Coturnix japonica: one gene and its partners. The protein of the gene in region 1 purifies or fractionates together with the protein of each later gene. This does not show direct contact. Links are inferred from orthologs where the notes say so. Each region holds a gene or a part of one and is shown on either strand. Other genes may lie near its edges. The genes, in order: SSB, LARP7 and RO60.

Region 1 (4,160 bases):
TCTGTTCCTTTAGGAACTTGTCCCTTGGTAGGTTGTGATTGCCAAAATAGTACTGCAAAAAAATAAAAATAAAAAGACAGACTTGTTTTGGAATGTTCAGACTTTAAAAGCTCTTTTCCATTTGGCAGATGACAGCAGTGGATGGAAATGTTCAAAATTCTAGTTGTTATTTTCATTGGAATTCTCATATTATTACTTCTTGCTTCAACGTAACACTTCCAAAAGTAGATTATAGTAGCAAATTATGCAGCATGCTAATATTTTGAACAGCACAGATTCCCAGACAGGATTTTTCCCCCAGAAATTAAGCCATACTGAATTAAAATGCATTTTTCTATTTGCATGCAAAGAATAACTCTGACAAACAGTAACAAATTGTTTACTGATGCACAACTTCACATTAGCCAAGTCCCTACCAATTAAGGTCTCCAAAAACTACATCTCAGTTCAGGTCCCAAATGATAAATTGAACTTACCTCAATTTGCTGGCAGATTTTGCTTTCCAAGATAGACATGTTTTCACCATCTCCATTTTCAGCCATTTTCACCAGCTGTGTTGAAATCAGAGCACAGTCACTAAATACTAATTACCAACTTCTACAGAGCTTTCTTGTAGTGCTGCATTTAATTGCAGCCCCTACAAGCCACCTTTATTTTGGTGAATCAGCTCTAAATGTGACTGCAGAAATTCCAAGTGGAAACTAGAACAATTAACGAACAGGTAAAACAGTTCATTTGTCTATAAAGCACTTTGCAGAAACTTGGGCCACAGCCTACCAGCTTACAGTTGCAGTCACTTCAGAGATGTCCCTACACAGCCATCCTGATTCCAGCAACGCCATCAGTTCAGTGAGGACTCAGGTGCTGCCATCATCACTACACTCCCCCATGCTGTTGTCCCTGGCACCTGACTCACTAAAAAAATGTTTGATGTTACCTAATTTTGTTGAAATTATTGTCAGCCTACAGAATAGTCTCAGCTTTTTCCCCTGGATCAAGTAATTAACCACACACTGTGTGCCTCTGCAGCACCTTATCCAGGGAAAGCCAACCTACTGAAGAACTGTTCCACTTGATTCATTTTATCACTAACTTGTTTCAGAGTCTTGGAGACACAGTGATGTAGATGGTACAGCTGGGAGAACAAGAGACCTTGAAAACCTTTCTGTCTGGGCAAGGTGACATTGCTATGGCTCTTCTCAGAGCATGGCAGATTTTGTTAAGCGCTTCTCAATCTTCTAAGCGAACCACTGTCCTATAGGTACTTTTCACAGTGTAGCTCAATTATTTAAGACAACATACTAGCTTATTAGGAGCTGTGGAAAATGTTGCTGTCTTGCATATTCTGAGGGGAAAAGAAATTTTTAAAAAGATGGATTTTAATAATGTATGTTTTTAAAGAAGCCCAGCACAAAAGTACAACGTGCAGCTGCACTGAACTGAGGACAGGAACCGTGCCCCACCACCTCACAGCCAGCAGAGTCCAGCAAGGCAGCAGAAAAGGGCCAGGCAAGAGGCAGCTGCTATGAACTCTCTGGGGTGGGATGCAGCCAGACTGTACCACCATGCCCCTTCGGCTGCTCTTGTTTTGTTCTGTGGTACCAAATGGTACTCACTCTTCTTACTGTTAAAATAAGCCTGGGGCTCCTTTAGGATGCTCAGTCCTCAGCAGTGCTGCCCAGGTGAAGAGTGAGCAGAGGCAGCATCTGAGGTGATAGGGTGACAGGAGAAGCACTCAGCGAAACCAGCGGTTATGCTTTGGTTTTGTCATTCAGAGACAACTCCAGTCTGTTGGGGGCAGCCTGGCTCTTGTAACCCCCCAAGAAACACCCTCATCCGATCAACGCAGACACTGCTGTATTTACCACTGGGTACCGCAGGGGCCATTAAGAAACACTGCGGTAGAAGTGACGTGCAGCGTTGTGGAAAAGCAGGCCCTCACCCTTACGGGGCCCCTCCGGGAACACAGCGCCCGCAGCGCGCCTTGCAGAGGCCCCGCTGCGCTGCTGAGAGGGGCAGAGCAAATCCTACTTCGTAGATAGCGCTTCAAGTCGGAAAAGCATTCCGTAAGGAAGTCTAAAGCAAAGGAGGCCTACGGCAAGTCCCCGAGATGAACCCTTACAACCAGGAAAGTTCTCCTGGGCCCGGCATCCAGGACGACAGCGCCGAGCCGGGCAGCGCCGGAGGCCGCTCCACACCCCGCACACATGGACTGCCGCAATAGCGCACAAGAGCACAACGGGCGCGAGGTAAGAACGAATTCCTCGTGCCGAACACTCCGATGCGAGAAGCAGCGCTGCACGACGAGCCGCCGGATCGCTCCCGAGCCGCTCCCCGCCGCCAGTTCAGCCCCGGGCGGCTCCGCAGCTGCAGTTCCGCGGGGCACCACGGCAGCGCCGTCCGCCACGTGCCGCCACCCGCGGGCACGCAGGGGCGCGGCGCGGGACGCCGAGAAGCATCGCGCAGCGCGCAGCCACCTCCGCGGGAAGCGCTGCCCCGCATCCTGCACGGCGGCCGCAGGCAGCGACACCCTCCGCCCGGCCGCGCGTTCCGGCCTCCTTCCCGGACGGACAGGCAGCGAGCAGCGCGGGAAGCGCGGCCCGGAACAACCTGCGGCCCCGCTCCCCTCGCGCAGCCCCCGCCGCCCGCCCGGAGCCGTCCCCGCCCGGCGCCACCCGCCGCGCCGCCCGCACACCCACCTGCACCGCCCGGCCCGGCTCAGACCGCGCGGCTCCGCTCCAAAGGCTCCAAAGGCTGCAGGACGCGCCGCGTGCCCAGCAGACACCGCAGCTCTCACGTGGGCGCCTCTTCCGGGGCGGGGCCGCTGCCGGAAACGGCGTCGGGGCGTTGGCGGTCAGTGGGTGTTACGGATATTAGCGATTACGTTGGAGATGCTAACGGTGCTATAAATACGGGTGTCACGTTAAGAAAAGCTTTAATACATCGTAGAGTGTTCATCGATTCGGCTTATGTGCCGTTCATTCCGGGAAAAGGCACAATATAAAGATCGCCGCCTGCGTTCAGCTCGTCAATAAAACGGGATCGCGGGCTGAGCAGCGCAGGTTACCGTACAGAAAATAGCACCAGGAGCAATAAGGACCTTCAACTTTTACACTCTGTTTAACGCATTCAGCCGCGCTGTGTGTTAGGATTGCTCCTGTCAGACCGCATGCAGCCCCACAGCAGCGGGGAGGCTCTGGTCCACTCAGTCCTGCTCCACCTTCCATTCCACATGTTAAATGTAACAGTTATCATAGTAAGGCTTTTCTCCAAATAAATAGCCATCAACAACAGCTCAACATCAACAAATCAGTCCAAAATCCCACTACAACGCCATGAAGCCAGCATACAGTTTCTGTTTGCATAACTGGGCTACCAGGTGATATTTCTTTCCCCTTTCTCTGTGTGTTCTCTTCTTCACTCTGCCATCTGAGGGTGGATTTAGAGATGCCCTGCAGCTGCCTGCAGTTCCTGGATGCGGTATCACTATGTGTAAGTGATATCACTGTGTATGTCCCACACACCAGATCTGTGGCAATGAACCATTCCTACAGCTGTCTTCAGCATATCAAAGATTACATCCTAGGCCCGCTTCTCCACAGAAAGGCAAAAAGGTTTAACTTAGCACCAAGTTAAAATTCTACCCAGTGACTGGTGAAAATAAATCTGTTTTTCACAGTCAGATACAGTTACAGAAAGTATTATTAGAGTCATTTGAAAGTTTCCATGACAGAGAAAACATATGAAAATATTTTTTTTCCTTATTTACCTTTCTGAATTGTTTAAAACAAATTGAACAGTCCTTAATGAATGTGCACTAGGAGATTGTATTAGGCATCTCATTCATGAGGTAATCAGTACCATTAGGAATACTGCATGTTTCCTTTGTCAGCACTATGAAAATGTCATGCCTACACATTATACACACAGACGCAGCCATGTGAACGCATGGCACTGGGAAGGTTGCCTACTGCTTCCCACGTGTTTAGTTCAGGGTTGTATTTCTCAATACTCTGCAGATACGTTCCTTTGGAATAGGAATATCCTCCTGTCACATAGATGCACCCGTTCATCACCACCGCGCCGCACTCCATTCTCCGTTCTAACATGTGAGCCATCTGCTTCCACTCGTCCTGCTCTGGGTCGTAGCAGTCTGTGAT
Region 2 (3,649 bases), on another chromosome or scaffold:
GTTTGGTATCTTTCATTTTAAATTCTTGCCAGTTATCAGAATGTTATAGTCCTAAGGCCAAAATGTGCCTTAAGTTCTATAGTCTAGATCTAGGGTAGTGATGAAACCAGTCTCAAAAGAAGAGAATTAAATTGATCAGAGCAAGTAAAGCAACTATTTCACTCTATACAGTGGCTTAAGAACACTCACTATTTTACTAATTCCATTACAGTCAAAAGTTAAGACTTATAGGAAATAAATATACAATATATAATAATAAGAAGTCTGCTCAACAGCTACAAAGACACTTAAATTTTTATCCATAAAGCTATTACAATACTACATGATATACATAAAAGATATGACCTATAGTCAGCCACTGTAGCTGTAAAGATATACATTTGTCTCCTTCCACTAATAAAAAAAACTGGTAACAAACAAAAATACCACACAAAACAACAAATAAGCACCAAGACTTACCAGTAAGAATTTCATATTTCCAGTTGTTTTTTATCTGTAGGTCTTTGTGAGACTTCATGACTGTCTGTGCATCCTCAGGAGTATTAAAACGGACATGGCATTCTGTGTCTCCTTCTAGCATGTCAACATAAGCAACATCAGCCAGCATTGCCAAAGCATCCTATCAGGGTGTGTGAGAACACAGACTTCAGAGTACAGAAGAGTGGCTATTTTGACCACACAATTTGTAGAACAGCACTCATTTTTCATAGAAGGTTATGGAGTAGAAAGTAGTAACAATTTTTGAATCACTTGTCTAATAATTTTGAGTCAATATATTTTCATAAGATGAGCCCATAACTTTAAGACAGCTATTAACCTCTCATTGTGCTCCCAAGAACTATTTTAAGCAGTAATTCCTACAGATATTTCTTTTTCCTAAGAACAATTTTGACTAATGGAACACTAGTTTTGAAACAAAACGGACAATAACTATATCTGTACTAACATTCCTTCAAAAGAAAATAATAAGTGTTGTAACACTGAAAAGCGTCATTCCAATAGAAAAATATTCAGGGTCTTCCTACATATGAAATCCACACACACAGGTTCCTTTAAGGCAGATAATCTAAAAAGTAAAAAAAAACACAAAACAAAACAACAAAACAGTCCTTCCTATCTTTATGAAGTGATCTCTGCCTGAAAATTTTCACTAACAGCTGAAGGAGGAAGAGTCACACATGCTCTTTCAGATGAAGTACTTCACTTGTAATACCTGCTGTTAGGGAAATTAACTAAAACCACACATTCCTAGTCCATTTTGTTCACAGCAGGCAGCTCAAGCCGCTACTGTTCAAGAATTACTTGCTTTTAACCCCATCCACTACAAAGCACAACCTTAAGCAAAACAAAACTAAGCACCAAAATTGTTGAGATCCTTTGAGAATCAAAACTACTGTTCATTCTGATAACCCAAAGTCATCGTGTTTTGGTTTTTAAATTAAGACTCACACAACACATAAGTTTCTCTCCCCTGAGAAACAGGGGAGCAAATGGAAGTAGCACAGCAAAAAACTAAAATATCAAAATAACATTAGAATTGCACTGAAAAGATCTTTCAGGTATGTAGAAGTTCCCCATGCCTGTCATGCAAGAAGAAATACTGGAAATTTACTAAGAAAAACCTAAATGCATTGTCTGGCGGCAGCAGTGCTGTAGATATGACAGACCTGGTGGACAGACAAAGTAAAGGCTTTTGCTGAAGCGTTAAACATTTCACAGAAGCAACTAGTATAGCCACAAGTCAGCCAGGGAATGTCAAGTATAGTTTGCAGTTCCCTCTGCCAAGCTGAGAAACAGCTGGAGCATCCTGAGGATTGTTGTTTGTTCCAACTACAGATGTATTTTACAACTGTATTTCTTCCTAAAAATCTTTCCTCATTTGTTTGGAGATATTCTGTATAATATTTTGCCTTATTATGGAAACCACAACAACTATTAACAAGAATAAAGGCCATGCCAATCTTGTTATGTCTTTACTTTCACTGAAATGTTCTTCTTAAACTAAAGAAAAAAACTAAATTTGTTTTATTTGGAAATACCAGACTGGAAGTTTATGATTTCAGCAGTAGCTGAAAATGAGCTCTGCCCTACCTGAGCATAATGTGTTATGTGACAACACAAACTCAACTACATAAAATGTACTTTGCAGTCAAACTGAACTGGCCTTAAACGTTACAGTGACAACTACCACATTCTCAGTGCCTCCAGTACTCAGACGACTGCCTACAAATACCAAGGCAGACAAGACTGATTAAGGTGAAACCTCATGTATCATCAATTCCTTTTCAGTGAAAAATACCCTTCAAACCTTGCTAGTATTTATGCATACATTCAACTTCACACACTTGCAAGTAGAAAGCTCCCAACAATGTACAGTTAGATATCTAAGTAGTATGGTAAGCTACCTCAGAACTTGTGTTTAGATCCATTCCCATTATAAGTGGTCTGCACATTTATTCTAACATGAGTTAAAACCAAATGACAACTTTCTCATACAATATGTTTTCTTAACCCCAAATTCCTGTTGTTAAAAACAAACTAACTAACTAAAACAACAAATCACCACATACCGAAGCAAAAACAATTTACCACTATGGATTCCTTCATTTGATTTGTACCAAAACTAGTGGCACAATTACATACAGAAAAAGGTGCACCCAACAACATCAAACTCCTATTCCTGAAACGGAAGATTGGTCTCAGCAGTGATTTACTTTTAGCAGTATAACATTAACCACATTTTTCACACAGCAAATGAAAAGACAGAACAAGAAGGGCTGGAGGTAGAGGTGACAATTACTCATCCTCCAGAGCATTATTTATTTCTGCCATTATTTTCAGCCTTGGTTGAAGCACTCAAAAGGCTACATCTTGTTTGAAACATTCTCTTCACCCTATTTTGCCATCCTAAATTCTTCCATTAACAGGTACTAGAGAGGAATCCGAACACAGCTACAGGTAATCAAACAAACAAACAAAAAAATATCGTTAAAATTTGTTTAAATCGTATTCCATATTCAAACATTTGGGTGGCACTGTAAGAGGAAAGGCTAACAGCTACCCTGAGGTTACAAAGGCATTACCTTGATCTGCTTCCTGCCCGGCAGGGGCTCAGTGCTAATGATCTTCACAATTACTCCACTCACAAACTGGGGCCCCATTGTGTTAGCCTTGACAGGAGGGGCACCATCTTCACTGGTGGCTGATGGATTGGAAAAAAGGAGAGAAGAAATTTCACATTTATCAGTTTGGCAAGCCAAAATCTACAAAAGCACAGAAGCAACGTGATGTACACAGAAATGAAAAAGGAACATATTTTAAAATCGTGGATCCAGATTCCTCTCTAATGTAATAACATAAAAGAAAAAAAAATCGTAGCTTCACAAGCACCCTAGAATATTTTTTCTTCTATTCATCACAGTTAATAACCAAATCCTGAATCTATAGTGATTTAAAATAAACGACAAGTCTGTTATCGAAGTTCAATTCAATTTCAATTGAATTCAATTCAATTCACTAAATGGGAAAGGAAAGAGGATCCTGAGGTGGGGATGGGAGGAAACAATTCCATTTCAGAAAAATATACTAGTAGATCCAAGAATATGCAGCTTAACTTCTAGCTATAAACCTGATCAAACCCCATTATAAG
Region 3 (3,649 bases), on another chromosome or scaffold:
GTCATTGAAGCACTGACATCAACTGCAACTACAAAACGTTTTCCTGTTGGTTCAACTGCCTAAAAGGAAAAAAGAAAAATGAAAACATGTACAGATGGGTTATAAATTTGTTCTTCCTTCTGCTTTCCATCTAGATGCATCTTGTTTATTTTTTCAGGACAATAGCATTACCAAAAGCTAAGTCGTTTTTTCACCTCCCTCCATTTAATAAAATCATTAAGACTTTTGTTATCAAGTTGGAATACTCTTACCCACTCAGGAAACACTAAGATATATTTTTATAGGCTTCCAGAAAAAGAAAAAAAAGACTTAAGCCTAGTAAATAGAAGCATTACATTACCTCAAAACTTTTGTAGAATGAAGCATCTAAAGCTTCTAAGATGTCTTCATCAGGACGCCACCAAAACTTCCCTCTGCTTCCATGTCCGGATTTATATGTTTCTAATGCAACCAATACGTGGAATGGATGTATTCTACCCTACAGGCAAAGTAATAAAGTAAGTTTTCAGAAGCCTGAACTTAATAACACATTAAAAAGCAGCACAAACTAAGATGACTGTAAATCAAAATCCACTTTGCTTCAATTGCTTTTGAACAGTTTATGTAGTGGCTGCTGCATATTTTAAAAATCACAACTTCACTCTGCTGATTTATGAACATTTTGTTGTTTCTTTTCTCTTGGCGATGTTCAAGTCATGTTAGCAAATGGTAGGAAATCTGAATGCCTTCTATCAAGGTGTTACGCTACCACCTTCGCACACCTTTCTCCCATGTGTCAGTAATGACATAGAATGAAAGAAGAAACAACAGAAAGCAAAGAGCAGTGAGAGAGGAAACAAAAAATGGAACTTGTTCTCAATTCCACTAACCAACTAACTCAAAAAAAACCAACAGAAAGTCACTGATCTTCTCTATATCCCACTAAATACCTACGGATTTCTTCCCCTCCTTTGGAGAACCCTACCATTCCTCATATGGTATAATGGACAGTAAATCATCCTGAAAGGAGAAAGTCTCCCTGTTCTATCACTTTTTTCCTATCAGAGGCTAAGCTAATTACACTTCATTCACTTCCTGGGGTCCCATGAAAGAGCCTTCCCTTCACTTATTAGGACTGTAAAGCTGACTCTAAGTTACAAGACTTATGAAGAGTGGATGAACCCACTAGGCAAAGCTTGCCACGGCCTTAATTCACTATACTAGTTGTCAGTACCCTTCATCTGTAAAACAGCTCTAAAGTTTATTAAAAGAATAAGCTACAGATTTCTTACAAAGACTCTCTCCTTCATTTCATAAAGACTTTAGGTAAAGAAACAGTTTTGGAAGAGGTTGAGAGTCAAAGGTTGGCAATGATTATGAGTTTAATCATGTGTTAATTTTTACCTTTTTTAGCAGTTTCTCATTTCGCAGTCGTTCACACACTGTTGCCACTTCTGAACCCCGTGGCTCAAGGACTGAATTTGCAGTCATCTTTCCTAAATTCCTCAACAAAACAGAAATGGGCATGTCTTTCAGCAACGCCTTCCACACCTCCAAACAAAGAACAAGAAAAACAAGATGAGATTCCCAAGTACAAGAAATGACACCTGTGTGTTTACTAAGTGTATTTTAAAATAAATGTGCAAGTTACATGAAGGCTTGTATTACAATTATCTACATGTGTAAATAACTTGGAAAAAAAAAAGCAGAGGCTTATTTAGCATAGGCTTATTTTTAAGCAGAAATCTTAACTTAAAATATTAAGTGTTACTCTAAAAAGAATACAAAGCTCCTCAAGTTTACCTACCTCTTTAGATTTCAGATGGTTTGTCAATAGATGTTCCCTAACGAGACCATATTCCTCTATTAAATGAATAACCTCCAATTCATCTTTCGTGTGTTTCACTCTGTCCACAGCCTCCAAGTATTTTAAAAGCTTTTCAGTCTCAGCAGAAACTGCTTTGTCTTTGTAAGCTTCTTGGACTTCTTTCCACCCTTTGGTGATGTACTTAGTGACGATGGCTACTCCTATAGAGAAGGAAAATATTTTCCAAACAGGGTTACAGTCTTAATACTGCCATTCATCACTCCAGCAAACAAACAAGTTAGCAGGTTATTTTTGTGAAAAACCAAATGAAGTAACAAAGAAAAGAACTGCAACTTCCCAGATCCGATGATCAGTTCTAAGAAGGATCAGCTCCATACAATTTAAAACAGCTGTTTTGTTTACTGTGTTATTCTCCTTGGCAGTAAAGAGCCTAACAGATTCTAAACCATCACTCTTCCCAATTAATGAACAAGTGTTATCTCAGCATTTGTAAGCAGACAGGAACAAACTGAAAGTACTATATTATTTTAACTTCTCTTGACATAATAAGTAAAACAAGGAATAAACCCTTTTAACCTTGAAGACAAACAGTTACATTTCTGACATGATCCCTCACACCTTTACAATGTAATTTACATGATACAAACAAACACTACAAAATCATCATCACACTGGCATAGACAACGAAGGTCAAGGAAGTATAAACAGTTTACTATAAGTATGTGAAAAACAAATGAAGTCATAAACAATCTGACTACAAGCAAGTACATGGTAACAAGCTAATATCAACAAAAAAGAAAGAAAAATGCCCAATGAGGGAGCCCTAGGCTTATTAGGGGTTACTAATACATTAAAGATCATACACCCCTGTATGGAAATGAGATAGGAAATGACAGCAGCTTCTCCTTCCCAGATGTACCATCTTTGAGCCCTTTAATACGTATGTTTTAAAGATGAAACAAAATAACCAATTAGAAACTGTAAAGAGAAGCAATTCTGTAATCAGCTACCTACAACCAACCACACTTCTAGTCAGGTGTGTGCTTGCTTTGCAAAGGATAGCCTAACACCTGACTGTGCAGAACTGAAACAGAGACCTTTACATGAACTCCAACTAAATGTTACTATTGGCCGCGTACACCAGACATGAACTCAGCCCCTAAGAGGGATAACACAGGTATTTGTGTTTGCAAAAAACATTCCACTGTTAATATTACAGGTTTAAAATAAAGTATTTTCAGGTGGATGAAAACGTATTACCTTCACTGGCAGGTTTCAGGTGGGACAACCTCAGAAGATCTTTATGAGACCAACCATTTCTTTGTTTATATTTTGTAACTGCTAATGCAACAGCCATGCCATTCTTTCCATTGTACCAATCTGCCACAGCTCTTCTCAGTGCCCGGCCCCATATGCCACACTTCATGCCCTCCTTCAAATCTTTTTTAAATTGGATGAAAGAAAAGAGATGAGTTGGTACACAACACACCACAGGAACAGCTTTAAATGCTGCTTGTTTTGTTTTTGCATCAGAACACTGTGAACAAACTGCAAGTGCAAAAAGCAGGGGCTCCTGTTTGGCTGTTCTGCCTTCTTGACTGAATGTCTTTATTTCCTGAACAACTTCACACCCTCTGCCTTCTTCAATCAGTCTCATTAAAGCTGCTGCATTTTCAAAGCCCAGCCTCTGCTCCTTGACACAGTAAGTACCGCCTTCTGAACCAAAGCACAAGAAGCGGTGCAGTCGATTCATGTCAGTGACGTCCCACGCATCATTGCTGTCAGAGTCTGGCACCTGCATTTCATTTGGGGGTTGAGCTTGGTCTGCCTCATCCGCCATTG

What was found.
Region 2: the proteins of SSB (region 1) and LARP7 purify together in Homo sapiens (affinity purification with mass spectrometry; 4 studies listed by BioGRID and IntAct, with this or other methods). This does not show direct contact. The link is inferred for Coturnix japonica from reciprocal best matches to the Homo sapiens genes SSB and LARP7.
Region 3: the proteins of SSB (region 1) and RO60 purify together in Homo sapiens (affinity purification with mass spectrometry; 3 studies listed by BioGRID and IntAct, with this or other methods). This does not show direct contact. The link is inferred for Coturnix japonica from reciprocal best matches to the Homo sapiens genes SSB and RO60.

Annotation. Positions count from the first base shown.
Region 1 is NC_029522.1:16,279,996-16,284,155, reverse strand, and holds the start of SSB (lupus La protein), read right to left. Parts: upstream 2,811-4,160; 5' UTR 2,700-2,810; intron 552-2,699; 5' UTR 543-551; coding exon 477-542; intron 53-476; coding exon 1-52. Other genes in the region: KLHL23 (kelch-like protein 23), read right to left, coding at 3,912-4,160. UniProt on the Homo sapiens protein: Binds to the 3' poly(U) terminus of nascent RNA polymerase III transcripts, protecting them from exonuclease digestion and facilitating their folding and maturation.
Region 2 is NC_029519.1:51,156,795-51,160,443, forward strand, and holds part of LARP7 (la-related protein 7), read right to left. Parts: intron 3,203-3,649; coding exon 3,084-3,202; intron 620-3,083; coding exon 460-619; intron 1-459. UniProt on the Homo sapiens protein: RNA-binding protein that specifically binds distinct small nuclear RNA (snRNAs) and regulates their processing and function.
Region 3 is NC_029523.1:3,395,290-3,398,938, forward strand, and holds part of RO60 (60 kDa SS-A/Ro ribonucleoprotein), read right to left. Parts: coding exon 3,068-3,649; intron 2,008-3,067; coding exon 1,787-2,007; intron 1,531-1,786; coding exon 1,384-1,530; intron 479-1,383; coding exon 341-478; intron 60-340; coding exon 1-59. UniProt on the Homo sapiens protein: RNA-binding protein that binds to misfolded non-coding RNAs, pre-5S rRNA, and several small cytoplasmic RNA molecules known as Y RNAs.